4 linked regions of the Tamandua tetradactyla genome follow. The main gene of each other region encodes a partner of the protein of the gene in region 2 in a complex. Links are inferred from orthologs where the notes say so. Each region holds a gene or a part of one and is shown on either strand. Other genes may lie near its edges. The genes, in order: SMARCE1, SMARCC2, SMARCD3 and SMARCD1.

Region 1 (6,991 bases), on a different chromosome or scaffold from region 2:
CTGGAAGACATCTGGGTTTTTGTATCAAGGCCAGACTTGGCTATTACATTAACAAGAAAATTAAAACTTACTGTTGCAGGAGCTGGGGTGGGAGGTGGGGCATAAGATGGTCTTTCTGTTTGAAAGAAAATAAATAACTTCTTGTAAACAACTGAGATATAATACTATGCAACAAAACTACCAATGGTCCTGTTTTGAAGGAAAAAAAAATGAGAGTATTTTGGAATTCCCACTTGCTAGGGCATTAGTCTCTTATTAACATAGATTGATAAATATAAAAATGAAACTTACTTGACATTTTGGAAGATTAAGTTCTCAGTTCCTTAAGAATGAATATGAGACACTAAAATAAAAAAAAAGAAAAAAAAAAGAAAAAAAAAGAGAATCAAAACTCAGCAAGCATAAGAGAATGTTCTCCTAAAGAATAGGGTTGTTTAATTGGTATCTTTGAGTAAAATTACTTTAAATTATCTTCAAGTAATCAAGATTTTTTCATATTTTACGCATTCTTGTAGGACACTTGGTTGATCAGAATTAAATGACTAAGAAAAATTACTGAGGATATTAAAAGTAATGTTAGACATATACTTTCAGGTCTGTTCTTATGATAGAGCCAGCGTTTGTATGGAAAACATTTTACTGTTGCCATGTAAACATTTAATCAGATTGATAAAAAGATAATGACAACAGAATGTGATGAACTATCAGGGCCCACTGGATACTGACAATTCTCCTGATCAGCAGGTTATACTTTTGCTTTTAAGATAACTTTCATTAAAGTAGCACAGCAGTTTATTCCTGGAGGCAGTGCAGAAGGTAACTGGTACAATAATGAGCCTTAACATTCTCTAATAAAGGTAAATATCTTCATAACTGGGAATAAATTTTGAGAATCTACCTGAAAACCCTTCTTTATCCCTCACAACCCATTTCAAAATTTATCTCCTCAATGGAGCTTTCTTGATGAAAGATCTGGGCAGAATTAATTGCTCCCTTGTCTGAATTCCTTTCCAGTTTGCAAATATCTACCAATTGTTTATTTATCATATATATATATTTTTTACCTGCCAACATGGATGGTGTGCGTATTATATGCAGAATACTTGGCAAAATTCTTCATAAGTTTTGCCCTAGTATTGCCAGCTCATATGACCATACTCACATGAGCTTGTTTCTTACATCAACATACATCACCAATAACGTAGTATGAAGAAACATTCATTTTTAGAAAAAAGGCAAATCAACTTCTATGACCACTGGACACTTTCATCCAACATTAGGTGCAACAAACATGTTTGGTCCTAGTGTGCATTTTAGGGGAATCTCCTGGGGTATAAAAAATAAGAGGCCTAGCATATAGAAAGATAAACATTCAATGGCCCAACCTGAGTCTGTTCTTCCTTCCCTTAAAAAGAAAAGACAGGTTGAAACCACCGACTCTGGTGCAAATTTTCTTCCTGCTCTCATTCAGGGAGCTGTCAATACCCAGTAGGCCTTGCTGTGAGAAGCCCTGATGATAACTCCACAAACTCCACTTCATTGTTAATACTTTAAAATCGCTGATCTCTCTTGCTAGACTATAAGTTCTAGCAGTAGGGTTGTACATCTGTCCACCACTAGATTCACCCCGTGCCTGGCCCATGACAGATACTAAGCATTTCAGAATGAATACCTTATACGGGACAGACTTATTACCTATATCAGACCATCTCGTTCAACAGTCGCAGTATACAAGACGTGTACTGCTATCCCTATTTTACAGATGTAAAAAAGGAAGGCTCAGCGACTTGACGTAACTTGTCTAAAGCCACCCAGCCAGTAGGTGCCAGAGGTAGGTTTCAAACCCAGGCCAGACTGTTTCACAGCTTTTGCTCTTCGCTCCAAGTCACACAGTGGGTCCTCCTCATATTGCTGCCTGAACCAATGAGGACCACCTTTCTGGGGGTAGAGTACGGGCTTGGCTTGCCCCGAGGGCTTCCTCTGAGATAATTTCCTTTAAGTCTGTCGGGAAGGATGCACTTCACCAGCAACATAACTAAGGCGGGGGTGGGGGATGGTGGCGGGGAGCGGTGGGTACGCTCTGACGCTTGGACCTGTTGTGAGGAGGAGTGGACGGGGCAAATTTCACCGCCGAGGAAAAGCCCCAGACGGAACTCCCATCTTCGCTTCGCTAGGCCTCAAAGAGCACAGAATCGGTCCCCAGCCCTAGCCCCTCAGCCAAGCCTGAAACCCCAGCAAGCCCTGAGAACTCAGGGTGCAGCCAGGCGGAGAGACAGAGACTTGTCACCCTCCCGACCCGGTCAGGCCCAGTTTGAAACACTCACCCGCGGGCAGAAGGAGCGCCCGCAGCTCCGGCTAGGCTTCCCTTTGTCCCACGCACGCCCCGCCCCTCGCGTCCGGAGCTTCCGCACTCGCACTTTCGACACTTTTCTTAATTTCTCTCCAGCTTTCCCCCGACTCTCCTTAGAAAAGTAATCCTAATGGTGAGGGCGCGGGGATACTTAGTGCCATCAAGAATTTTTTTTCAGGCCGCATTAGTTCCTCAAAACTCACGAATTTCGGTATTTTCTCGGCTAGGCGCCGATTCGTCACGACGGAGAGGGAGAAGTTTGCCCGACCACGGGATAGGCCGGGATTTCGCGGTCGGGAGGAACAGAAGCGGCTTCGGCGACAGGTGACGCGGCGGGAGCTGCAAAGCTGTGCCACAGGGAGGTGGGGGACGTGGCCTCAGCAGCCACGCTTCGAAGACAGCGGGAATCGCGCTAAGGCGTGAGACCCCGGAACCACCGTTGCCAAGTGGGCCGCGCCTGGCTGGGGCCGCGTCCGTCCCCGCCCCCGTGTTCCTCCCCCACCCTCCGCCCGGGTCCTCTTCCTTCTCTCTGGGCAGGAGCTGTGCATCTTAGCACGCCGAGGGTGGAGGCGGGAAGGACTGGGTTCACAGAATTTTCCTTCTCACAGGCGCCTCGCACGGCTTTCTACTTTAACAGCCTGGCATTATCCTTGATGAAAAGCAGTATGGAGTTTTTCAGTTATCCAAGCGCTTTTATGGTGTAAGTGCCACAGTTCCCCGAGGCAAGGCCCGGACGCGGTAAGCCGCGCAGTGTCCCCGTTGCCACTAGTAACTGCCTCAACCTGTCTTGGTTAATTCGGTTCACTCAGCCGGGAACTATTGTCGCCACTTTAAGTTTTAACCTCATTTATCCTTCCGGATGCGGCTCACAGGTCACTTTGTGATGCCCTACTGAAACTTTCTCCCCAGTAATCCTTTTTCTGTGCACCCATGGCACAGAGAAAGATAAAAAAAATTATAAGATTAAAAGCTTATCATTATTTGATGATAATTTTATTGTAATCGTCCACCTGACTTTTTCTTTTCTTCTTCTTCTTCTTTTTTTTTTTTTTTTTTTTATCAGTTTGTATTTAACTCCAGCGCATTACGAGGGCATTGAAAGCAAAGGTCCAGGCGTCTGCATCAATCATCTTGAACTATTATTAGATACTCAGTAAACATATACTCAGGCAGATTTCTAATCTAGTCCAGGGCTCTTTTCACTAAATAATGAGTAAATTGGCTTACCATGTGGCGTGAATAGCCCCTTCCTTGTGAATATAAATATCTATTTTTGCTGATGTTGTGGCCACTGTGGAGGAAGAAGGAACAGATGGGATCCTTCCTTATCTGTAATTACTTTGAAAACAGTGTTGCCATTAAGAGTGTATGAATTCTTGCTCTGCTCTCAGAATCCACACTGGGTGTGCTGGCAGGGACCGGGCATCTCTGGAAGGCTGCAAAGCCAGGGACTCATGAAACTGTGCAATTCTTCCACCTCTAATAATTTTATGTTAGTGACTAAAGATCAGTGAAATTGAAGATGTATTGAAAGGAAGGCTTAAAGGTGAGGGCCTGGAAGGATAGATAACAAGCAGCCTGAGTGGTGCTTGAGATAATATATATAAATTGATTTTTTAATGTAAAAGCATCAGAGACATGTAAAGGAGTATTCTGAGACACATGAAGCCCATCCCAATGTCTTGTTTCTCTGGCCTTGACCAGCAACTCCGCCTGGTTTCTTCACTGCCTTTAGGATTATAGTCAGGGGATTGGGCAGGTATAATGCTGGGACAGATGTTCAATTGTATTATCTCTAAGCAGGCCTCTGAAGAAAAATTGCAGATGCTGGATGTTAGAAACAAAGCGCACTGTAGTGTGAGAACGGTGGCACAAAAATGGTGGGAAGAAAAAGGAGGGTATCTGGGTAGAGCAGTGACATTGACTGATCACTTTCTTACCTCCTGGTCTTTGCTCAAACTGACCTATTTAAAATTGCGACTTGTTCCCCCACCCCCCTACTCCTTATTTATCATCTGTGCTTAATTTTTTTCTACAGTACCTATCACTGCCCAATATACTGTATTTTTATGTAGTTATTTTTGTTGTTGTTTTTGTCCTTCCGTTGGAATGAAATCTCCTTGATCAAGGGTAGAGACATCTATCTGACTAATTTTGTTCATTGCTAAACTCTGATATCTGGAACTGTGTGGGGTAAATATAGGTGCCAATATTTGTGAAATGAATACATGAATAGCTATTCAGTTTTTCCCCCTTTAGTTCTTTCTCTCTTGAAGATTTACAAAGTTAAGAAAAGAAGAAATAGGCAACAAAAGATAATAGAAAAAAATATTTTCCTAGTCTTGAAGAAATTAAGGCTGAAGAGTGAAATATCCAGCAAGGTGGACTGTACTTAACACTGACTTTTATAGGCACTAATAAGTCCACCATTGTTATAGGCAAATGGTGGAATTTGCTCATTTTCTCAGCCGTTTCTGTGAAAGCAGGAGTCACAGGAATTTGTTTTCTATCGCTGGAAGTAATTGTGAAATGTTGAAGCCCTGTAGCTTTCAAGGACAGAGTAATTCACAATGTTCTATAGAATTTGACAAAAAATGTGGTATGCTTTTACAACTTTCCTTATCCCCTCAATACCTTGATTTGGGGCATGATTTTTGATACATGATTGGAAAGAGATGAAAATATTTGAAAATGGAATGGTGCTAGTCCTGGGAAATCTGGGGTCGGGGTCTCTTAACCACAGATAATCCACAAATATCTGTTGATCTTATTGAGAATCTAGGATCGGGTTCAACAGACTACAGCTGCAGGCCAATCCGGGCTGCATCCTATTTTTGTAAATTGTTTTATTGGGACATAACCATGCCTATTCATTTCCATATCGTCTGTGGCTCATTTGGGCTACCAAGGCAGAGTTGCATGGTTCCTACAGGGACTGCATGGCCCGCAAAGCCTAAAATATTTACTGTCCTTTCACAGAAAAGGTTTGCTGACTCCTGGTTTATAATTTAAGAGTGTGGGAACATTGGAAAGGACTTGTCCTGATTTGCACATATGCCTTATTTTGAAATGTTTATTTTTAGTATGTCCATGAATATTGGAAATCTTTGTGAACCTGCTGGCCATAACTTGTTAACATAGAGCCAAATTCTGCCTTGTGTACAGAGATTCCTTTGATTTCATGTGTTAATAATATCAGTAATTTGTATATACATATTAGTTAACAAAGTTTAACTTTGGTCCAGGTGCCATACTTATTTCTATTTGAAACTTTCAAATTAATTTAGTTTTTTTTTTTACTTTAGAGAACATTTTTGTATTTTAAAAAGTGTCATGGAAGAAGTTTAATTCACTGGAAAAGAACATTTCCTGTCAACAATTGAAGAATTAGAACTACTGTCTTTATCTATGTTACTTATCATTGCCAGCTATAATTGTCCTCACAAATTCTTTACTCCCAAAGACAATTTTCATCCACATAGTATTGTATATTTGAGTAGTGCTTTACAAAATATTTTCATATGTGTATTATTTCAGACAACTCTGTGATGTGGGCAGGGTAGGAATTATTATCAGGTATCACCTTTTCCTTTGTTTTCGGGTATACAAATTGAGGTCTGGGGAACTTAGAGTGATTCCCTCTTGCTTATATGGCTAACTAGTAACTGTAGTTAACCTAGCCCTCTAGAACCTGGGCTAGAATTTTACAATGTTAGTAATCGAAATTAACTCCTTATTATATTTTGTTATGGAAGTGTGCATTTGAAATATTTTAGCGAGATGGAAGAATATTAATTTCTATTCACTTATAAAATGAGGATAATATGTGCCTCATGGGACTGTTTTGAGGATCAGAGATTATGTTTGAGCCCACTGAGCATGTGCCTAGAGCATAGTACACACTTTGCAAATAGTATGCTGTTGTTATATTTTCTCCAGGACCATGGGATTTCTTTGATTTTTTTTAGGCTGAAGTACCAATATATCATTCTTGTGTAAAAACCATTATCTACTATGATGGAATTTTTCTTTTGTACTCAAATGAGCTAACCATATTGAAGCAATTGATTCTTTGTTTTGCTTAGACATGCAGAGATACTTACTTTGTGTTTTCTTTTGAATGGGCAGGCACTGGAAATCGACCCGGTCTCTGGCATGGCAAGCAAGAACTCTGCCTGCTGAGCCACTGCGGTCCCAGAGATATTTTTGAATTAAAAGAAGTGTATGAAACTCAAATACAATGCAGCTTTAGAATTCAAGTTTAATTTTTTTTATCTTAGTGGTATAATTTACTTTGGCAAATTCATATTCCAATTTAAAATGTCTCAAAGCAAACAAAACGTTGTTATAAACTCAAGTATTGTTAAATGTACCTGTTATACACACAATAGCTGCATAGTGGAATTACTATAATAAGCGGTTACATTCATGATGTCCAGTTCTAAATTTTTAACACTGCATGAAGATTACACTAGACATACTGCTTTATTACAATTACTGTTGCTTAGTATAGTAACTTTAGTACAATAGGTTTTATGATTGCATTTTTTAAACCTTTAATAAAGTTAGTAGCATTTAACGAATACTGAATGAAAACAGTTGTGTGTATAGAATGTATTTTAAGTCAAATACTTAGGCAAG
Region 2 (7,711 bases):
AAGATTCCAGGGAATCATAAAAGGGGATTCTCTCTAAATTAAACATAAGAAGCATAGAGAAAAGGCATCTCACCATCCCTGGTCACTCTTGAATTTGTAGGCAGCTGCAAGTATATGGCACAGGGAGCCTCCTGCTTTGAAATCTAGGAAACATTTGATCTACAAAATTGAGACAAGAAAGAAGTTTATGAGAGTTATATCTTAAATTCTCATCAGCTAACAATCCTTTCACAAAATTCTATGTTGATCACCCTCTTAAGATGGAATTCTTTAACCCTTGTGCTATTGTATCATGTGGCTTAGAAGAAAGAAGGGAAAGAAACCAAAATTCATAAGGCATCACCTTGTGCCAAGCACTTTCCAGGAGTACCACATTTATCATTACAAAAACTCTAAAAGGTAGGTATTATTATTCCCAACTAGAGATGAAGGCATTAAGACTCAGAAGGGTTAAATGGCTTGTCCAAGATAACAGAGCCACCAAGGGCCAGAGCCAAGATTTGAACACAAGCAAATCCAAATCTCATACCTGTTGCACAAAGTATTACTAAGACAAAAGGAATAATAAATTAGGGACTAGACCAAGCCAATGATGCCCTGACAAGGGGTAGGAATGGTAGTAAATGACCCAAACTTTAAAAAGTATAAAATTTACAAATATACAAAAAAGTAAAATTCCCTCTCCAGTTTGGAGTATGTATACCTTGGTTTTGCACTCACCGGCAGTTTAGTGAGAGGTGCATTGCTGACATGTTTGCCAAAAACTTCTTCCTGAAATTGTAGCAACTGTACCACCAGGCTAGACAGGGACTTGTTGGTGGGTGGTTCAGCTTGTATATACTAGGGAAATGGGAAAAGCAAAGAAAAACAGACCCCAGATAAATGATCTACCACCTCCCATATTTCTCTCCCAGGAGTTCTAGAAGCATCTAGGGCAGAGAAAATAGTGCCTTTCTCCTCGGATGCCTAGTTCTGTAAAGAAAGTAGCAGAAAGAAGGCCCCGATCAACCCTTATCAGGAAGCTGAATTCCTCCTTCCACTAGCCAGATTGCTAGTGTTGGGTGCTGGAGATGTAAGAAACTTCCTACTCTTCCCTCAGCAATACCTTGAAATTACAGGACCCTGTTACAGGACCCTGTTATCTTGACACCTGATCTCCAGTCAGGAACACCAAGGGTTCTAAAATTCTGAAGGTATATGGAGTTCAGGCCAGGGAAGCAATATCTTTGGGGCTCACTATGCAGGCCAACATTGTATTTCTTGGGGGAATTTTGTGGAAGGCCAAGTTTCCCCCTATAATGTAGCTTAATGAGGCACAAGGAAGTGAGGTAGGGTAAGCAGACAGAAAGAATATGCATTTGGCTTCTGCTAGGAAGTGGGTACAAATGTCTTCGTGCTAGCTGTAGGCACTCCTAGATGGGAAGGATCAGCTACTACTTTTCCAGTAAGGAACAGTAATGCAACATCTGTCCTTTATGAGGAAACTATATCTGAGATGCAACTCAGGGCCTTCTTAGCCATAGCCATATTAAGCTACCTAGCAACCTAGCCTTCTGTTCTAAGTTAAAAACAAGCCAGAAAGCTAACTTTCTCTTTACCTTTTGACCTCTGTTTCCTCAACCCTAATCACAGAGAAGAGAGCTCATCTCAGTGGGAGGTGTAAGGAGATCAATGAGTGAAAAGGTAAATGACAAGAGCTAAGAGCATGAAAGCTGAACCAGGTCACAGGCTGTCAATCTCCCCAGGGCCAGGGACTAAGCCCAAAGCCTGATCTCTCTTCCAAAAGTCAAAGTAGAAGCCTGGGAACAAGACCCTCACACTGGGGTGAAGATAAGCACAGATCCAGCAGCTGTTTGTCAGAGAGAGATCCTGAGAACAGGGCCAGACTCATAACCAAGATCACAGAGGGAGTCCCCCTAAATCACCCATCACACTTCCACTTCTGACAGGCTGCAAAGTTGGGCAGGAAGAGCTAGGAGGCTGAAAGAAAGCCAGAAAGAGAGCTCTTAACTCTCTTTCTGGGGGGTAGTGAGAAGGAAGAGAGGCAGATCATCTCCAGAGAAAACCCTCTCGTATAGCTGCTCCTGTCACCAGGCTTAAAGACAAAGACACCAGTAAGAGGTTTGGTGGAAAAGACAGGTAAAGCTTCTTGAACCCTTTGTTCACTACCTTATCACCTCCACTTATGGGATGGGGATGGGGAGGGTTAGAGGAATGGAACTCCTCTTAGGTTCTGAACCCCAAAGCCAATGCAATGCAAGACTAGCTTGCAGGGTGACTTCATTATGAAGGTGAGGAATGGTTTAAGAAGGGGCCGCTGCCCAGGAAATCTAATACACTAGTACCCATAGAGGTTTGTTGCCGCTTAGACGGAGGTGGGGGGTGAGGAGCCGGGAGACAGGTGATTTGGGTTGGGGGCCTTTCTCAGGGTGATGAGTAGCTAGGGGCCTGCTCTATGACCATTTACCCTCCCGCTTTCATCATCTCTCTCAACACACACAAAGCACCAGGGAGGCCTCAGCCCTGCTGGTACCTGGCTCCGTGGGGAGCTCTGGCGCGCACTGTGGCGGGCACGTTTGGCCGACCCCGTCCACCCCTAGCTGTCTCTCGGAGAAGCCGGGAAAACGATGGCTTCGGAGAGGATGGGCTGCTGGCATCGGGCCCACCGGGGCAATGGAGAAAAACAAGGGGCAGAGGGGGATGCGGGGGCTGAATTCAGAGGCTGGGGGTGTAAAATGGGCTGGGGCAGGGGCGCAGGGCGCCAGGCGGGGACCGGGAGCGGCCTGGGAACTGCTCAAGGCCGCCGGGCAGGAGCCGGAGGCGGCAGGAGGGTGGGCAAGATCCGGGAAGGGGCTTCGGGGCCACGGCCCCTTTGTCCCGCCCCCAGCACCCCCCACGGGCCTGCCCGCCGGGGCCGCGTACCTTCTTGTAGTTCTTGCCAAGCCAGAGTCGCACGTTGTCGAACTGGGTCACGGTGTCCGCGGCCTCGTAGTACTTCACGTTGGGGCCACCGTCCTTCTTCCGCACCGCCATCTTCTCAGGCTCCGGCCCCGCCGCCGCCGCCGCCCGCCCCGCTCAGCTCAACTCCCGCCTCCTCCGCCCGCCTCCCGCCGCCTCCCGCCGCCGCGGCCGCCGCCTCCCGCCGCCACGGCCGACCCCGGCCCACGTAGCGCCCCCTGCCGGCAGGCCGGGCGCAGAGGCGGCAGATTGGCCCCACGCGTGGACCGACCCCGGTGGCCTTCCCGGCCGCGGCGGCGGTGGCAGCGGCGGCGGTGGCGGCAGCCGGAATCTCCCGGGACACGGCTGTTTCCTGGAGGGGGCGCCCACTCTGCTGAGATCGCTCCTTAACTGACGCTAAGCCCTTTCTCTCCTTTGGCCTCCTCTGCCCGGGGGATGGGGAACCTCTCTATTCTACCTCAAGGGGACGTCCATCGCCCTCAACCCTGGAGCCCCGAGTTTTTCTCATCCTTGCACATCTCTAATTCCACAGAAGCTCAAACGCCTTTTCCCAAAAGGTTTCTTCCTTTCATCCCTCCCCAGCAGCTCTCCCTTTAAACTTTCGAGGATCCCTCACCCTTGACGTCTTGTCCAGGGACCGTCCTCTCACCCTTTAACCCGAGGAGTTCCCTGGCCGCCACCCTGGAGTTCTAGTCCCTTCCCACCAACTGCTTCCTCTTCAGGCCCCGCTATCAAATCCTAAATAGTTTTCGCTCCTTGAGACCCCTCTATGCTAGGCGGGAGACCCTACCTTCCAGAACCATCTTGTCCACCTGACTTTTTTCCTTTGAGGGGCCGAAGAGGAGGTAAGAAGAGGGAGGGCCACAGCAGAGGGGTCGGGTCCTAGCTTCCAGTTGTACTTCTTGCCGGGTCAGAAGTTGAATCCCTTCTGTAAGCGCGCGGGAAAGCGCGATTTTTGGGAGTCACGGTGGCCGAGTGGTTAAGGCGTTGGACTCGAAATCCAATGGGGTTTCCCCGCACAGGTTCGAATCCTGTTCGTGACGGCAGCGGTTTTTGTTTGCTTTACCTTCACAACTCATAAAGGGAGTCCCAATCCCCAAAAGTGACTTTCTTGCACTTCTCTTTCTGTCTCGGAAAGGAAAGCCAAAGGTTTCACCTCTGGATTTTTTTTTTCTTTTTTTTCTTGTGGTGGTGGAGCAGTATGGGGAAGGAAGTCACAGGAAGCTTAATTATGCACAGTTGTATTGGCTGCTAGGCTACACGGCACTTTAAGTCTTATTAACTGTGTTGCCAGCAGAGTGTTCGGCGCAAGTTTCATTCTTGTGAGAGAGGGTAGTAAAGAATTTGAATGAAGAGGGGTGTTTCAATTTTGTTTGAGAATGTGAGTGCTTTTCTCTGTAATGATAGTCAAACCTAGAGTTTCTAGGAAAAGAGGGCACCTCTGTACTTCCATTACTATATTACACTTTGTGGGTTTTATTACACTGACAACCCACGAAACAGGACATTCTCTCACTCAGATGTTCTTGAGGAGATAAACCTCAGGCATCACAGAGCTGGGGTTGGGGGAACCTATTGAAACAAACACTAAAGAGCTGGAGCCAGGGTTTGGGAAGTTAACTGTCTGTCACTTTTTGTGTTCTCCTTAAGTGCCAGGCCCTGTTCTAAATTCTCTTTGTATATTAACCAAGCTAGGACCTATAAGGCTCCTGTCCTCACCTCACCTGGCTCTTCCTATCCTCTAATGTCTGTTGTGGGAAAGAGCTAGGCTGCTTGTTGAGAATGTTTTTGTGTCAGTTCATTCATACCTTTGTTCATGCTGTTTTGTGGATTGCCCTCACCATTGCCCACCTCTTCTCCCATCATCATATCTTTTAAGCCCCTCTCTGCTGTGCCTCATCATTTCACCTGCAACCTATTGGTCTACTACCACCATTCCTGAGTTGTATGCAAGGCATCTCCCTTGACATGCCTCCATAAAATATATAAAAACAAGTCTTACTTATTCTGTCTTCTAAATATGTCTCAAATCTGTCTACTTCCTTCAGGTGTGAGTGCAGGCTGAGCCCACCACATACTACACCAAGGTACTTGGGCTTTCATCAGGAAAGTAGGGTTAATTTAAAACTGCACTAAAGATGGGTACTATAGCCTGAGACCTTAAGCCCCTGATGGCTGCTGTTTGTCTGCCCTTTGTCTTGCATGATCTAGCCTCTTTCACCACTCTTCCATATTCACTATATTTCACTCACTGCCATTCTTTTAACTTCTGCTATAGTATGTGGCCTTGCCTGTACTGTTTTCTGCATGAATTGCTCTTTCTCATTCTCACCTTCCACTCAAATGTTGGTTAAATGTTGGTTAAGCCTCCACTTAAATGTTGGTTCTCGTGGGGAGTCTTCCCTGATCAGATATTGCTGAACATATCCTATGCCTTAACTTTATTATTTGAAGTATAGAACATAAACTCAGGCGCATATAAGCCACAAAATGAAAACAAAAAACAAAAACAATATTTGTTGAATAAATGGATGTTTTTACAGTAATTATGTGTACATGTTTTAATTGTCACTTGGACTGGACTTCTTTAGACTTAGGCTGTCTTTCACAATGCCTTATCTGTAGATGTAATCAAATATGTATTAAATAAATTCATAGAATCTAGTAGGCTCAGTGCTCTGCTTCCTACCAAATACCATTTTGCTCATACTCTTAGACTTAAAAACAAGACCAAAATTGACCAGCAGAGGGCAACCAATAACTGTGTTGTGAAGGGATGGCAGCTCCATGGTTTACAAAATGGAGGATTTGGACTGAGAAGGAGAATGTGGCATACGGGGTTTGGCACTTGGGGACTATCCTGTTCACTCTCAGATGCCTCCCTTGTAACTAACTTTTGAGTGTTACCTCTATCTTCATGAATAATAGATAATTTCCAAAAATTTTACCAAATTTTTACCATCTCCATGGCCCCAGTTCTTTCACCTTTCCCCTGCAAATTCTGTCCTTGTATCTTTGTGTTGCATGATCTGGTCCCCTTTCTCTTGCCACGCTTCTGTATTTACTACATTACATTCACCGGCATTCTTGAGTTCCTGGTACAGTATTTGGCCTTGCTCATCTGCCCTCAACCTTCTATTCCCATCATTTCAACCTCCTAAGGAATTTTCCACAAGCATCCCTCCATAACACCTTCAAATTCTCCTACTCCTCTGGATCAATCCTTCCTGAATTCAGAACAAAATCACACCTTCACTTGACACTGCCAAATCACATTGTTTTCTACTTCCTCTTATTTTGCAAATAAAATGCATACCCTCTGCCTCCAGCTCCACACTATCTTAATACCCTGCCATCTTGTTTCTGCCTCCTGCTTTTAAAAAGACGTTAATAGAAACACTGGCCAAATTCAATAGTCTTTTCTCATTCTTAAACTTTTGCTATGTTTGAAACATTGGTTTCTTTTAAAAATCTTTCCTTGTTTGTTTCTAGAGACATTGTGTTGTCTTTCTCCTACTCAGAACACTGCTTCCCCATCTCTTTTTTTCTCTGTCCTTCTGTGGAAGTCTACTAAAGCTTCATTCTCCTTCCTTTCCCTAAGACAATATCCTAAGCCATCTTTCCACGTGTACAGCCAAACCATGGTCCTGTATCTCTAGTTGCCTATATATCTGCATAGCTGACCAACGGTCACCTAAAACGCAAATTTCTCTTCCTCTCCTAGAATTGCATTCCCAACTTTTCCATTTCTGTTGGCACTATTCTCTCAAGTCTTTCTAGTTTCCAACCTTAAGAATTATCTGCTATTTCTCTTTTTCTGTTCCCATCATTCATCAATTATTGCTCCATTATATAACTTTAATTCATGACTTTGTTACAATGGCTTTCAAGGTGTCCCCGTTTGGTCACTTCTAAACCCACCCTATATGGTTTTAGAATATGATTATTATTCTTTTAGAATATGATTATTCTAAAAGGCTGCTTTCATCACATTATTTCCCTGCCCAAGAACTTCAGCTCCTCCTCTGATCAAACACCAACATACCCTGCCTAAATTATGCATTTTTCTCTACCACTGTAATTAAACTGATTGTCTCAATGTGACAGCCCAGTTCCTGCCTTTCTTCATGAAGTGCCTTCTCTCCCCTCACCTGTATACCAACTAGCAAATGCTACCCTCGAATGATCTTTTTGGCTTTTATTCTTAGCTCTTATAAAAATTTTCATATGACTGATATAAAAGAGCCAATATGGGGGAATCTAATATTCAAAAACTTAATATCATTCCCCTCCAACTTGTTGACTTGTTCCAAATTTTAAGAGCCTTCTGTCGCTGCTGTTTATTCAGTGAAACAAATGACAAAAGGACTTGGGGCTGAAATTATCTCAACCTGTATTTGTTCCAAGGATGCTGTCATTGCACAAAACATTTCTGAACTCTTTTACAGCTAATTTATGAGCCATGTTTAAATGATTCATTACTACAAAATTACTGGGGGGGTAGGGGCAGAAACAACAGTAGCCTACTCTATCATGTGTATCTATTTTCTTGATTGCAGTCCAGATTACTTCTGGAATTCCCCACGGTCCCATCCTTAGCCTTCTTCCCTGTTCTCTCCTTTAGTGTTGGCATTCACTCCTATAATTCCTTCATCATCTCTGGGCAGGCCACTCCCAAATCCACATCTTCAGCCCTAAACTTCTTGATCTTAAGCTCCAGACCCATGTTTCCAATCACTGGCTAATCATTTTT
Region 3 (7,584 bases), on a different chromosome or scaffold from region 2:
AGAGAGATGAGGCAACTGTGGCTCAAGGAGAAAAGCAGCGTCACCAAGGTCACACAGCTCATCCTAGCAAAGGCAATACCTGCCAGGACCTAGTCTTTTTTGCTCTCTGCTGCTTCATTCAAGTTAGGGGCTGAGCTCCTTGCTCTGACTTCTGCTGTTCCTCCTTTTATTCCCTCCTTCCTATTCTTCACTTCCTGGGCTGATCAGCACTGCATTTACTTCTTCTCATCTCAACCCACTCATCTCTCTGGGCCCCCTGCTTTTGACCCCTCAACCCCAAACACCATTCCCTTTAGGCTGATTCCAAGTCTCCATACCCAGGTACCTCAGCCTCACTAACTTTGCCCACACCCATGATTTGCTCCCAAGATGAAGGCTGGAGGTAGGGCAGGAGGCAACCTCGGCTGTGAGAAGCTGCGGGCTGAGGACAGACCCTTCTGTGATTGGGAGGAGTGGGGAAAGCTGGCCTAGAAGGGGGATGCCAAGCACACTTTGGGCAGGTCAAAGCACCAGCCTTAGATCTTACATCTTTCCCTCCCCTCCCACCCACCAAGCTCACCAGAGATGGCCCTATCCTTACAGATCTCCTCCACTTCCCACTACTACCCCCAGTGCAAGCCACAAGACGGTTCAAAAGAGGCCAAGGAGAAGGAGATGAGGCAGCAATCACTCTCTTGCCACTATCCCTGGGTGGTCAGATGGGATGTAAATGAGATGCAAACGAGTCCAAATTAAGTGCTCCGCAGGCTTTTAAAACCCAATTGTCCAGATTCCACAAGAGGGATTGGGCAGGGCCAGAGGGGCTGTAAGGAAGAGAGTGGGTGGAATGGAGACTGGGACAAGGAGAGCAAGGAAGGAGCCTTGCCCCTGTTATCATTTAAACAGTACCCGCTTCACCCCCCGGGAGCACAGCTGCCACCAGACACAAGGAGGAGCCTGAACCCTGGGCTTGAGGTTCCCCTTCCAAATGCCAACTCTCCCTAACCCTAATGCCCCTCCTACCCTCAGCCAGCCAGCTGTCACAGCCCATCTCTCCCGCAGTGAAACCTGCTGGTTCATGTGTCTGCCTCCCCCACCCCACCTGACCCTGTCACTCACACCTCCAGGGTAGCAGAACAGAATGGGGCCCAGACCCAACCATTCCCCACCAGCATAGGTCAGGGCCTGGGAGTAGGGCTGTGGGGCTCTCGGCCACCCAAGAACTGAATCTCTGAATTGGTCATATAACAAAAAATCCACATTAATAGCCTCTCTCCTTCCTAGATGGGTCATTTTAAAGGGACTCCCCAGGCAGCAAGGGTGGGACTTGGAACTCGGCTGGTGGACACACACACACACCCTTGGGAAGTTACCCCCAGAGATCCCTGGAGCTGGAGGACAGGCTGCCCCAGGGATGCCCTTTCTTCCCTATCAGGTGCATTCCCCATTGATCAAGGCCAGGGATATCCACTGATCTGCTGAAGAGACCCCCAGAAAACTGTGCCAGCCATCAGGGCTACTTCACAGAAGGCTAAGATTCTAAAGACTGGCCACCCTCAACTGAGAAGGTACTGGCTTTGGGGTCCTAACCAAATTTGTTCATAATAATCCTGACTGCTCCTCTATACTTTGCTTCCATCCCTATCACCTATCCCAAATCTTGGAGCCCCTGCCATCTCCCAGTGCCTGAATCATCCCCACCCTATTCCCACAACCTTCCCCAAGCTCTCCTAACCTGGTCTTCTGCTGACTCAGCTCAAGTGTCCCCTTCCCTGGTCTCCCTTAGCCCCCCTAAATGCCTTCACAGCCTCCTGTGGCAGGACAGGGCTGTTCTGTCCCTTTGATCTCTAGGCCTCATATCCCCATCTCTAGCCCTTCCTTCACACCTTTGAGGCTTTGAGAACATCAGCTTGTGGTGACTGACTCTGCCAAAGGGACCCTCAGACCCCTTCGCTGGAGGTCTGTCCCTACAGAGGGCCTCTCTCTGAGCCTGATGGCAGAGGCCAGCCGCAAAGCCCCATTGCTCCCCTGTCAGGAGGCAGCGGTTGCTCATGCCAGAGAGTTTCCCACTCACAGTGCCTCCAGGGTCACCTGCTCCTTGCTCCTGGGGCACAATCAGAGAGAGACACCATCCCAACCTATGACCAGACAGCCCAGCCCAGTCAATGCCATGCCCCCCACTACGACCCCCCCATGGGGAAGAGGTAACACCTGGGCCCACAAGGAAAAGAATAGAAGACAACATGCTTGATTCAGAGGGGGCCCCCTCACTTGGGATAGTCCCCAAATCCCACCCCCAGCCCCTGACAAGAACCCATGCAAATGCTTCTCCCTTTCCCGCCTGCACACCCATCCCCTGCCAGCCGCCTGGTGACGTGTTCGGGTGCCAGGGGCACTGGCACAATCCTGGGGCTGGGCCGTGGGCCGTCGCACCCCCCAGCTAGAGGGGTGAGAGCAAGGGAGCGCCCTCCCGGCCCCTCCCAATCATCCCTCCATTCAGCCAGAGCCAGCTCACTCACCCTCCCCCGCTAACTTTCCCCCACTCACCACCCCATGGACCAGAAACTCAAAAAGTTTGCTTTTCGTGGCTTTGCGCGCCCCTCCGGTAACTTCGTCCGCAGCCATCGGGGTGGGCTCAGCGGCTCCTCTCACTCACTCTCTCTCTCTTCCTCTTTCTTTCCCTTTTCTGCCTTTTTTTTTTTCCTCCAACTCTCCCCTCTGAGTCCTGCTGGGCTCTCTCACACTTCTACTAGAGCGGAGTGGGGAGGGGGCCCCTTCAGGGCTGCCCTGACGGCCCACGGCCCACGCCACTCCTGCTCAGCTGCTGCCACCACTGCCGCTGCCGCCGCCGCCGCCGCCGCTGCTGCCGCATTCCTGCACTGATAAGACAGAAATAGTCCGGGCTGCCCGGGGTCTGGCTGTTTACTCGGCGGGGACAGAAAATCCTGCCTTTTCAAAGCTGGCTGTCCAAACAGCGCAGATAAGCGGGGAGGCAAACTGAAAATACTGTCTCCTTGGCCGCTGGGGTAGCAGCACAGCAGCCGGAGGCCGGCTGGAGGGGCCCGGGGAGGCTGGCGAGGGGGTGGGGACGGGGAGGGGAGGTGGCAGAGGGGGCTCGCCGGCCACCCGGAGCTTTCTCCACAAATAGTTTCTCGGTTAGGGAATTCACCGGCAGAGCCAGGCAGGGAACAGTCAGCTCCAACTCATCCCCCCCCCCCCACCAAGTTGCTCCTGCTGCATTTCTGAGGCCCTTTCCCTAGGGACCTGGCAGGCCAAGTACGGAAACATTCACTGGCAAGGAATCTGGGGAGAGCCTGAGCCCGGAGGAGGCCTTCCCTCCTGCCCCAGGGTGAGGAGCAGCGGTGGGGTATGCCTGGGCAGGCGGATGTCCTCCTCTCCCCAGATGTATGTGACCCTGTCTCCCATGGCTGCGTGTGTCTGTGTCCTGGTGTGGGCAAGACTCTGTGGCTGTGGGTGTGGACAGTTATTTGTGTGTACAACAGACAGATGCCTTTTCTGTGTGTCTCTCTATGAAAGGCTCTGGTGTGTGTGTATGTATGTGCATGGGCCTATGTCTTTCAGCTCTCTGTGAGTCTATTTCTGGGTATATGAGTCTTTGTCTCTCTGAGAGAAAGTGAGGGTAATAGGGGAAATATTTTGGAAAGAGGGACAAGGATCAAGCTCATGACAACAGGGAGAGAAAATGTGAGGGAAGGCGCTGGGGGTGGGTGCACAGAAGGGTGGGTGGCAGGAATGAGGCAAGGAGGGCTTGGGTGCGGGGTGGGGGACCTGGAGTAGCTGGGGCTGCTGGGTATGGTGGGGGCAGCCTCATGACCCCAAAGAAAGCTGGGGTGGAGAGGCTGGGGTTATGAGAGAACCCCAGGAGGGGTGGTGTGGAGGGAGAAGGCAGCCCGGGGTTTGGAGGAGGGGCAGGAAACAGGAAGAACAAAGCCTTTGATTTCCCAGGAGGGGAACCCGCCCCCCCCCCCCACGCCCCTAGACTCCACAACCCTCTCTTCTCCTTTCTGTGGGTCCCACAGGCTTTGGGACAACAGCCTATCAAGTTGACAGGCCTCTAGGGGCGGCCCTGCCAGAATCCACATGAGGCTAGAGCAATGCCTGGGAGGGTTGGTTGGAAAACTTCTTTGAAGTTAGGTCCTGAAGACTTGGTATTACACTGGAGGTGGGAAGTGGTCCTGACCATCAAACCCTTCAGAATGCCTTCAGAGCTCAGGACAAGGAAAACCAAGGGAGTATTTGCCCAGCTTGATTTCCCTTGGGCCCTGGTTGTGCTCTTGGGTGCCTCTGTCCATATGTGTGTCCACTGTCAAGCCCCCAACAGGCCACAGAAAGCATCTGGGTCCAGGACACCTGTCCTCCACCCCAGGCTTGGCAGGAGTCCTAGAGATCCCTTTCCTACCAAATCTCTTCCAAGGCTTCACCCCAAATCCACACACACAGAATGTCTTGTCCCTGGCAGGCTGGGTTGGGTGGGTGGGTTGCCTCCATCCGCCATCACCCATAAAGGTGGCTGCTGGTAATCTGGAGTGGGGCATTCTGAGCCACACCCCAGCAACACCCTTCTCTCTGCTCCAGTCTCCCACTAACCTCCAAAACCCCAGACTCATTCCCATCCCTCTGCTCCCAGTATTCTTTTTGCCTGGAATGCCCTCCATTTCCCCTCGGCCTGTCCAAATCATACCCATCCTTTCCAGTGCAGGCCCCACCTCTTCCAGGAAGACATCCCTGATCTTTCTCTTCTCTGATTGCCCATGGCTCATCTACTTTGCCTCATGAATTGACACTGGATTAAGTAATGTCTGATGTGCCCTGCATTCCATGTGTGTTAGGTTTGGTTTCCTCAGTGATGCTACAGCTCTGTAAAGTAAGGAACTGGCCTCTCACTCCCATGCCTGGGCACCAGGATTCAATAATACAAAAATGCCTGATGATGCTCAAAACCACCTAAAAATTCAGTGGACCAAGATCACACTCTGCCTTGTTCTTCAGGGTGTGAGAGTCACTGTAGCCACCCCCAGGCCCTGTGAGAACTTCTAGCATGAGAAAGCTAGACCACAGGACGTGGAGGTTCTGGGGGATGAGAGGGTATGACATCTCCAGACTTTGTGTAAAGCTCAAAGTTCTCAACTCTGGAAGAGACCTTTTGAGGAAAAGAAGGGAGTATGAGGAGATGGGATGGGCACTCCCTATTGGGCAAGTGGGAAGTATTAGGGTGGGGCATGAACAAAGGTGGGAGCCCCCCAGCACCTGTGAAGGGGTTGGGGAGACCCCAGGGATCAAGAATCAAGGATAGGCAGTTCATCAGTCTAGGAGATGGAGGAGGTGATAGGTGTCACTCACCTCCACAGACAAACCCCTCCTGGGCCATGCCAGGATCACAACCTCTTCCACACCCCCTGCTGGCTTTGCCACCCCTCTGGGAGAGATCCTTAAGCTTGCACAAACCACAAATACATGATGCATACAGACACACACACACACACACACCAAGCACTCATGCTAATGCAAATGCCAAAGAGACAAGGAGCCAAGAGGACTGACACACACAGGCACACCTTGACCACCTCCATATCACACTCACAAAGCCCGAATTTACAAGGCACCGCCATCAGACACGTTTACATGCCGCTTTTACAAAGGTGACCAGAGGTGTGCAGGCTCAGGGGAGTCTTCAGACCAGAAAGCAGAAAGCAGGGGCGGAGACACCAGTTGGGGCACACCCAGCCAGGGCTCCCTCCTCACAAAGGCCGGATCCCCAGCAGCTCAGCCCAGAAGGACGCTCCAGCAGTCACCACTGCTGGACACGCGGCCGGCTTCCACACAGGCCCAGGAAAAGCCCGGCTTCAAGCAGGGAGACGGCCCTTCCTCCCAGTCCGACGGGGATCTCACTCCCTGTCCGGCCCAAGTAGCGCTCTGGGTAGGAGAGTGCCTGTGTGTGTCTAAGGAGAGGGCCAACTGCCTGTCTACCCAGGACAGAGGCTCCGGGCTCGCCTGGGCTGCCTCTCGGCAGCCCAGAGCCGGAGTCCCCCCTGCCGTCCCCCCATCTCTCCTTCCCTCACTGAAGCACCACCAGCACCAAATGGCAAAGCGCCTCTCTCCACGCAGGGAGAAGGATGTAGCCGCGGCCTGCCGGGACGGGCTGGGGCTGCCTTCTCCCCCACCCCCTCCCGAACCACGCCAGAGCCGGCAGCGGCAGCCCGGGTGTGCAGTGTTGGGGGCGCGTCCCGGCCTGGCAGCCGCCGCCCCCCTCCACCCCAACCGCGGGGTCCCCCGGCAGTTGCGGGAGCCGGCCGGGAGTCGGCCTGGGCATGCGCACTGCGGCCTCCCTCCCGGTGAAGGTCAGCCCAGGGCCTAGCTGCAGGACTCAAAGGCGGCGGAGAGAGCTGGAGGGGGAGGAGGGATGCAGGGGAAAGACTTAACTCCTTCCCTTCGGGAAGATGGCCACCAAGGCCTAGGGCCTGAGCCCTGGGTCCGCACGCTCCCTGGCTTCTGGGGAAGTCCCATTACTGGGACAGAGCTCAGGGAATTGGGGGAGGGGGAGGGGGAGGGGGAGGAGAAGGGGCTGAGCGAATGTAAGGAGGGAGACTACAAGGAGAGAAGGGAAGCTGGGAAGGGGGAAAGGGAGAAAGGGAGAGGGGAAGAGAGGAACAAAGGAAATAAAGACTGAGGGAGGAAAGGACTGACAGGGTGAGACTCATCACCACCAACCGCTTTTCCTGCACCCCCAGCAATAGCTTTCCTTAATTGGATAAAGTTAGCCTCACTGATTGGTGTGTGTGCGTGTGTAAAGTGAGACCACTTGGAGCTCTCAGGTTGGCCCCTGGCATTTCTTCGTTCTTAAAACCTCTAGGCTCTGCCTAGAACCAGCAGAAAGAGAACCCTTTCTCATCCCCATCACTAAACCACCCAGAGGTAGCTCTGACCCAAAGCTGGCCTAAACCTTTCCATGCCCAGCTCCTGGAAGTGTGGGGGGCCTGCACCCCAATCCTCCACCTGAAGTGAGGGGTTTCCTTCAGCCTCCAGACAGGGCATTTGAAAGATCGGACAAGGGGTATCATGGCACATTCCTGTCCCCCAACCCCCTGGCTGTCCCCACGGTTCTTCCAAGACCTGGAGCAGCGCCCATGTGCCTGTAGGCTTGTGTAAGAACAGTTCTGTGCCCAGGACTCCCTCTGCTGCTATCAAAGGGGCTGTCTGCCTCTGTGTAACTTCACCTCTCTGTGTTACTTTCACAGACACACAAATACAGATGGAAGGAAGCAAAACAAAGAAAATAGTTGCGTGACCTTGGGCAAGTCGAGGTATCTCCTTGCCCTGCCATAAAGGAGGTGCTTAGGCCAGAGAATTCCCGGGGCCCCTCCTGCTCTGAAATCCAGTGACTGTAAATGTCAGAGACAGGAGCTAAGTCAGACAAGGAGAGAAGGAAGGTAGACGGAGGGAGGGAGCCAGAGAGACAGAAACAAAGAGAAAAAGAGATGCAAAGAATGAGATAGTCAGAAGACCCGCCACAGAGACAAAGAGACACGCCAAGTAAATGGGCTCTGCTAACAAGGAGTGGAAGCCTGGCCCCTGCTATCAGCCTCT
Region 4 (7,190 bases), about 12 Mb from region 2:
AAAACTAACGCACACAACATAAAAGCAAGCTTGAACGAGAAAAGTCTGACTCTAGAAGGGAAATGAATCACTGGCAATGAGCAGCCAGAACAAAAACGGCTTTATTTGGACCAAATGACAACACCAGCAGATGGAATGGACCTATATAGAGAAGGAGGCTCTGACACCGAGCCCTGCTTCTCCTGCAAACGTGCATTCAAATTAGCTTGCCTGTGGCAGCTTAAATTAAAAGCTGTCGAGTATGAAGGAATGAGAGGTGAGCTTCCCCACAGAGCTGCTGTGGTATCAGCTGATGTTCTTCATAAAGCAATGAAAAGTTTATCAGAGACATCTATCCCACTTACACTGTGAGGAATTAAAGTTGGGAAGAGGGAAATACCATAGTGGGAATCAATGACCTCAAGGACTCAGAAAAGGAAAATTATGGCCTCAAATGTCAAGAGCAAACTCAATTGATTAAGGAAAAAAACTAAAGTAATCTTCAGATACTGGTGAATCCAATGGCCTCAGCACTAGGGGAAGGGAAACAACAAGTCAGATCCCAGGACAATAATGATACCCATAGTGAGGGTCAAAGTTGTGGGAGACAGACACAAAGAACCATTGTCTTTCAGTACAGAGAACAGAGTGTCCCTCGTCCCTGTGCTCCCAACAGGAGCTGTGTTCACAGTCTCAGCAGACCAGAGGACACTGCTCATTCCCAGCAGCTCCCACCCTAGACACACCGACCTCGGTGGACCTTGAACTCACATCCTCCAGGAGCCGTCCTTCTACCCGAAGCTCCCAGGAAGCCACTGTCCCTTCCCCATCCTCGGCATCTGATTTAGCCGGATTGAAAGTGTTAGAAATGAAAATTCGCAACTTCCGTTTTTGCTGTGGGGAAGGCAGAAACAGGATTGATGGTGGGGCTTCAGCGGTTTGATGTTGCAGACAAGGATCTCCCCAAACCCCAAAATTACTCCTAACAAACTGGCTTACTGTCTACCCAGTCCCTAGGGTTGGTGGAGATTCCATCCAGGAGAAGAACACAGGCCACTGGCCTGAGTGCAAGTGCATACACAGGGATGCCGGGTGGATAATCATGCAAGGTGCCAGGATCCCAAGATGGGAGAGCAGTTATAACAAAAACACGGACAAGGTATATTTCTGATGCAAGAGACATCAAAAGCCCCTCCCCTTTGCCATTCTGTTCTTATGCTCCTAATGTAATTCTCTCTTTGTAGGCAGAAGGGAGAGATCCAATTTAAATGCCAGAGAGAGCTATGTTATGCCTTTGATTTCTCACTAAGACTGCTGAAGTTTCCCAAGTTCTCTCCTTTGGCTTTCTGCCTAGCACTCTCCTGTGTTACCTTGATGGGACGTTTCAAGGCCTCTTGGATATCTAGCCGTTTCCTCATGATAGTCTGGTCCAGTTTCCTTTCAAAAGCCAAGAGATCCATATAGGCCTGGGATTCTGGCACCAGTTCACGAATCTTCAGAACAGAAAGATAACAATTAGGTTCTAGAGCTGACCATCTCTATTCTCAAACTCACTGTATCCTCAAGAAAACCTATAGTCTGGACTCACCCTTTGAGGTAGAATTTTGTCAGCCATCTTCTTTTTCTTTGCACTGTTCAGAATAAATACTGTTATTAGATGAGATGAAACTAGTCAGAACATGAAAACAAGCTGTCAGCACTCCATTTATAGAATGTGGAGGGGCTGCAAAGCTCCTCTCAAATCAAAGAGCTCCCCTTTCACATTCTCATTCTTGAGAAATGAGTCCTGCAGCCCCAGACTGCTGACAGGGAACCACTATTTCTTGGTTCAGAATACTCCCACCACCTTTGTTCTCATAGATCTCCCCCCTCCCTCCCTCTGCCCCAGAGTCATCTTACTTGTGGTTTCGATTCTGGACCGCCTGCTGCTGGACCTGCTGGATCTGCTGAGGCGCAGGTCTCTTGCGGGACTGGTCCATCCCTGACTGTGTCAGGCCAGGTCGGACTGAAGGGTTCCCCCCATAGCCAGGGGGTCCCATGGAAGGTCCCTGAGGTGTCATTCGGCTGCCTGGCAGCATACCTGGTCGCTATAGAGGGAAAAGGACCCAGAGATGTCATGGTTTCCCCTATTAAGACCAACAAGAAAGGAAAAGTGAGGGATGCCTGAGTTCTTTAAATGAAACCAGACTGGTATGGTAATGTCGAAATACAAGCAACTGGGACTTTCTCCACTCCAACTGTGATTCCATGGGTCAATATAGCCCAGAAAATAAGCGATAACCAGAATACACTCAAATGCTCTCTCCTATCTACCCTAGATCTGACACATTTACCTCCCACATTTACTCTGCCAGCTATTACCTCCTTAGAACTTGACCCCAATTTGCCAGCTATACCCTCTGTCTTCCTCTGGGCACTAGAGCTGCCAAGCCCCTGTGGGCTCCAGCCCTTACCTGCCCACCCCTGGCCCGAGGCCGTCAACCCTGATCTCATACCCTGACATGCACGGAAACAATACTCCTTTTGGAGTAGGTAGGGATGCTAAATGTCTCCCCCTCCTATTCTTCGCACTAATTCTCCTCACTCTACACAGGGCTTGAATTCCTCCCAGGGGAGCCCCTCCTACTTCTCCCCCCACCACACCCCTGTCACTCCTGAGCCCCCATCGGCCCCGCCTCCGGCCCGAGCGCTCCTCCTCCTGCCCTACTCACTGGATAGGCCGCTCCGGGCATCGGTGACCGGTAAAGCCCTTGACCCGGAGCTGGGCCCATTCGCACTGGGGGCCCCGGAGTCCCGCCTGGACCCAGCGCGGCCGCCGCGCCCGCCCCTCCTGAGGCTCCGGCGGCGCCGCTTGGAGCCACTGACTGGAAACCCGCCCGGGCCGCCATCTTCCCCGGAGCCGCTGCCGCAGCTGCACAAAGAACCGGAACCGGAACTCCCCCTGTCCTCCGCGCGCCCCCCGAGAGCCCGGCTGTCCGCCCGCCGGCCCGCCTGGCCCGGGAGGCTCAGGGTAGCGAGACTGTGGGCTAGAGCGGGAGGGCTAGCGGAAAAGGCTGAGCTTGACCACTCCCTCCAGCCCTCACGGTCCGGGAGGGACGACCACAGAGATGAGCTCTGGGATAGAGAGCCACTGTGAGCGAGCGCCCTCAAGCCGACGGGAGGAAGACAAAGACCTGGAAAAGGCGGACCCCAGCCCCAGCCTCAACCTTCTGATGCAGAGGATGGCAGAGTAACTGCTTCGTCCAGGCGCAGCGTCCTTAACCTTCCAAAGTGCTTTGACTGTTTTCATTTCACTCCCTATTGCTATATCTACGGGGTGCTGAGGATGAGAACGCACTATTTATTCTATTCTACAATGTAGCTCAGAGGGTAAATGACTTGGCAGAGGTCATCTATCAAGTTAGTAACAAAGCAAAGCCTAGAATCCAGATCTACTTACTGGCTTCTAGCCCGGGGCTCATTCCACAGATAAAATGCCTGAATAACTACCTCATTCTGGAACTTCAACCCAACTTGTTCCTAACCTTTAACCTAACCTGATTCCAGATTTTAAATTCCAGTTTATCTTGAATTTGACTCTGTCCTCCTCTCCAAAAAATCCATTGTGGTGGGACTTCTCTCTGGGGTCTTTGTTGTCTTTGGCCTCTCCCTCTTTACCTGCTCAGTGGTTCAAACCATTCCCAGAGAGATGGTCAGCCTGTTCTATTCTAGGAGGATCAGGACCTCCCTACTCAAACCCTGTTCTTACTCCTCCCCCTCATTCTTTGGAGCCAAGCCAAGTTCAGCATTAGGCAATTGATGGGAAGACCTGAATAACTTTCCAAATAACTGAAGAACAACACTGAAAAGGAGATGGTTGAAACCCAGTTTATTACACCAGAGGCATGCGTCACTCAGAGCCACACCTGCTGTTCCCCATCCAGTGCACACTTTTGGCCTTGCTCCTGATTCCCTTTGGGAAGGTGTGCTCTCTAAGAACTCCTAAGAATCAGGAGTTGCCAAAGATCCTACAGCTTCACTCACCAGCTCCAGGCCAATGCACAGGTGACCTACCCATAGGTCCTGTTCCAGGGTTGGAGACCAAGAGAAGGCTGGGCAGAGAAGGTCTGGGAAGGGGTTGGGACTGTGGGCTGGGAGGGATGCCTGTGGAAGGGAGAGGGGGCTAATCCTCTCCCTCACTTGCCTCTCATTAAGGTAGCGTGGAACAGAACAGCAGAGCTTTCAACTTTTCCTCTAGGCCTGTCTCTTTCCTCCCACTGCACACCTTACCTCACCAGAAAATGTGAGTGGCAGGCTTGAATATCAGGTGAGAAAAGGGAACTGGGCACCCAGAAGGAGGGAAAGACCATGACTGAGGACCTCAGCTTCTTCCTGTCCGCACTCCGCTACCCCCACTACAGGAGTGATTGACCCCCAGCTTCCTTCTGAATCTGGCACTCCAGCCTCTAGCTTGGGAGAAAGATTCTCCTTGGCTTAGGGTGTAGACTAGGTCCCCATTCCCTGGATGGGGGCTATCACTGTAGCAACATTCCCCCCTTCTCCTCAGAGGCTGGAACCAGCCAGGTAAAGGGTACTGGGGAGGGTGGAGCAGAGGAAGAGAATGTTAAGGCTGCAGGGAGGGCAGAGTATACCCAGGTTGGGAGGAGAGGATGAGGCCAGAAAGAGGCAGAGCTTGTGATTCACAGCTTCCTTTATGTCGCCACCAAGACAGTGCGAAGTTTACAATGCGTGTGTCGTCTCCTTGTGCTTCTCAGAGGGATGTGTGTACACAGTACAGACACCAGGGGAGAGAGTCCAACTCTTTATACAGGCGAAGGCATTCAGAAACCAGGGGGAGGGGGAGTCAGAGACACAGAAGGGGGAACTCAGGGTAGGGGGTGGTTTCCAGAGACAAGAGTGTATGGGGAGAGACAGACAGGGTTGGAGAAAAGTATATACAGAGATATAGCAATATAGAGTCTGTATCATATAGAAATAGAAAATGCAGATGAGGTTGTTGAGAGAAGCAAATGGAGTTGGGGAAAAGGACTTGGGAGAGTTCCATAAGAAAATTTATGGATGTGGCCCTCTGCAGGGGCCCCTGGGAGAAGGACCAGTGATTTCAGGCACCAGTAACCCTCTCCCTGAGCTGGAAACCAACCAGCGGGGTCTTTTATGGGATGTAAGAGGACGGCTGCTTCTTGGGATTTCTTTCCAGCAGCTACGGCTCTAGTGTGGGGGTGAACGTGTAAGTATCGGGGTGTGGCCTACAGCACCAGGGCCGCATCTTGCCCCCGTCTCCAATTCAGAGGATCACTGCACCCAGCCCCCTAGGGACTCCACATGGTGTGAGGAAGTGAGACTGGGGTCTTACTTTCTGCCTGAAGACTTGGGATTGGGGTGGGGGTGGGGGATCACTGCGTTGAGGGGGTCTCTTAAGGCTAGGAAAGCCCCTTCCCAGCCCTCCCCCTCAAGATACATTCTCTGGTTTGGGGCCAAATTCCAGACCCCAAGGATCCCCTGCCCCACCCACTGGGGGGGCTTTGGTGACTGGTGGCAGCAGAATGTAGGTGGACGCTCAGATGACAGACGGAGAGAATTCAGGCTGGAAGCTAGGGGAGGCAGCATGGGGCAGAGCAGGTCAGCCTGAGGTCCCTTGCCCCCTTCTCTCTTTTTAATTTCTTTTTTAGATTAGTTTAGTTTTGTTTAAAAAACAAACAAAAAAAGGGATAGAGGCAGGGAGAGTATGGTCAGGTCAAAACTCCTTCCTCACCACAGAGGAGAGGAAAGGATTGTCCAGGAGTGGGGGACTGCCCTAGGAGGTGGCCATAAGTCCTGGAGCCGATTGAAGGGGGCAGCCGGGGGAGGGGACGGGGCCCCTGCTCTCCTAGCCCTCCCCATCTAGGCCTTTGGTACAGGGGCCTGCAGGGCTCAGCAGGTAAAGTCCTCGAACGTGCCTCGGGCCGGATGGTGAGGTAGGATGTTGGCAGCGTACGTCATCCCGGCAGGATGGCCCCGGAGGCTTTCGCAGGGGTTCTAGAAGGGCACACACAGGACAGGGACTGGTTATCAGCGTCACAGGTGTCACTGGGGTGTGGAGGAGGCAAAGGAAGGATGGTGTGAAGGCACGGGTGGGGCGTGGGGGGTAGGTGGGGGCGGGCCCCGGGGCAGCGAGGGGAGGGTGGGCCCCGACGCCACCTCTCGCTGGCTTCCTCACGTGTCTTTTCACGTCGTCCAGGCTGAGAGCCACACCCTTATCCGCGCTGCTCCTTTTGGCTTCCTTCTGGCACTTCCCTCTCCGGCACAATTTGTGCTTAATGACCTGCGACAGGCGGCGGGGTGGGGTGGGACCCCTTCCGTAGGCTCCGCCCCTCGGCGTAGGCCCCACCCCCACCCCACCCCCACCGCTTACCTCGTAGGCGTAGTCAAAAAGCTCCAGCACCGTGAGGATGCTGGCCCCGATGAACAGCCCCATCTGGCCCCCGATGTCACCTGCGGGAGGGGTGCGTGGAGGTCAGGGAGGTCACCGTGGGGGCGGCACGGCTCGCAGTAACAGGGGCGAACAAATCCTATTCACGAGGGTGTTGACAACCTTCATGCACGGGCGCAAAGCCAGCTTCTGGTGGGGTTTTTATGTGTTTTTTTTTTTTCCAGCATTTTCTACTTTTCTAAAATGCATAGGTATTATTTCACGTAAAACAGTTGCTTACAAAATACCCAACACTCTTAGTCTCTGGACCAGTTTTCAGAGAGTGTGAAATAGCCCCTGTAACCCTTGTCCCTCCCCCGTCCCCATGCCCATGGGCCGCTCGCTTTACCCTAAGAAAAGGCTCAGCCCTCTTGCCCCACCACATACCAAGGCAGCAGGGTTTGGGGAAGGGTTCCTGGAGTGGGGACCATATGAGACAGAGGTGAGCAGGGAGTCAGGCCCCGCCCATGGCAAGGGAAGGAACAGGTGCATTCAGTAGCTCACCCAGGAGCCCTGCAATCTCATAGGCCTTCTTCTGCTCAATGGTCTCATAGTTGAGGACTTCAAAGAAAATGTCCAGCACCAAGATGTTCTCCCTTCAGTGAGGTTGGGGGAGGAGACACAGGTTCAAGTCATAGCTCTGCCTTTCACAAGCTGGGTGACCTTCACAAGTTAGCCTTTCTGAATCTCAGTCTCTGGATCATAAAATGAGATGCTAAAGCTAATGTACCTTGTAGAAGGATTGAATGAGATGGTGTATAGG

What was found.
Region 1: SMARCC2 (region 2) and SMARCE1 share a complex: the UniProt entries of both Homo sapiens proteins name them as parts of the BAF complex. The link is inferred for Tamandua tetradactyla from reciprocal best matches to the Homo sapiens genes SMARCC2 and SMARCE1.
Region 3: SMARCC2 (region 2) and SMARCD3 share a complex: the UniProt entries of both Homo sapiens proteins name them as parts of the BAF complex. The link is inferred for Tamandua tetradactyla from reciprocal best matches to the Homo sapiens genes SMARCC2 and SMARCD3.
Region 4: SMARCC2 (region 2) and SMARCD1 share a complex: the UniProt entries of both Homo sapiens proteins name them as parts of the BAF complex. The link is inferred for Tamandua tetradactyla from reciprocal best matches to the Homo sapiens genes SMARCC2 and SMARCD1.

Annotation. Positions count from the first base shown.
Region 1 is NC_135332.1:26,726,909-26,733,899, reverse strand, and holds the start of SMARCE1 (SWI/SNF-related matrix-associated actin-dependent regulator of chromatin subfamily E member 1), read right to left. Parts: upstream 3,016-6,991; 5' UTR 2,554-3,015; exon of another isoform or gene 2,463-2,553; 5' UTR 2,325-2,462; intron 2,300-2,324; exon of another isoform or gene 2,052-2,299; intron 344-2,051; 5' UTR 299-343; coding exon 292-298; intron 116-291; coding exon 72-115; intron 1-71. UniProt on the Homo sapiens protein: Involved in transcriptional activation and repression of select genes by chromatin remodeling (alteration of DNA-nucleosome topology).
Region 2 is NC_135333.1:123,240,080-123,247,790, forward strand, and holds the start of SMARCC2 (SWI/SNF complex subunit SMARCC2), read right to left. Parts: upstream 3,089-7,711; 5' UTR 3,034-3,088; coding exon 2,923-3,033; intron 841-2,922; coding exon 721-840; intron 160-720; coding exon 74-159; intron 1-73. UniProt on the Homo sapiens protein: Involved in transcriptional activation and repression of select genes by chromatin remodeling (alteration of DNA-nucleosome topology).
Region 3 is NC_135327.1:195,192,447-195,200,030, forward strand, and holds the start of SMARCD3 (SWI/SNF-related matrix-associated actin-dependent regulator of chromatin subfamily D member 3), read right to left. Parts: upstream 3,033-7,584; 5' UTR 2,605-3,032; coding exon 2,527-2,604; intron 1-2,526. UniProt on the Homo sapiens protein: Involved in transcriptional activation and repression of select genes by chromatin remodeling (alteration of DNA-nucleosome topology).
Region 4 is NC_135333.1:111,100,606-111,107,795, reverse strand, and holds the start of SMARCD1 (SWI/SNF-related matrix-associated actin-dependent regulator of chromatin subfamily D member 1), read right to left. Parts: upstream 3,088-7,190; 5' UTR 2,868-3,087; coding exon 2,691-2,867; intron 2,067-2,690; coding exon 1,879-2,066; intron 1,611-1,878; coding exon 1,568-1,610; intron 1,473-1,567; coding exon 1,350-1,472; intron 874-1,349; coding exon 751-873; intron 1-750. Other genes in the region: ASIC1 (acid-sensing ion channel 1), read right to left, coding at 5,890-5,994, 6,176-6,280, 6,371-6,450, 6,932-7,023. UniProt on the Homo sapiens protein: Involved in transcriptional activation and repression of select genes by chromatin remodeling (alteration of DNA-nucleosome topology).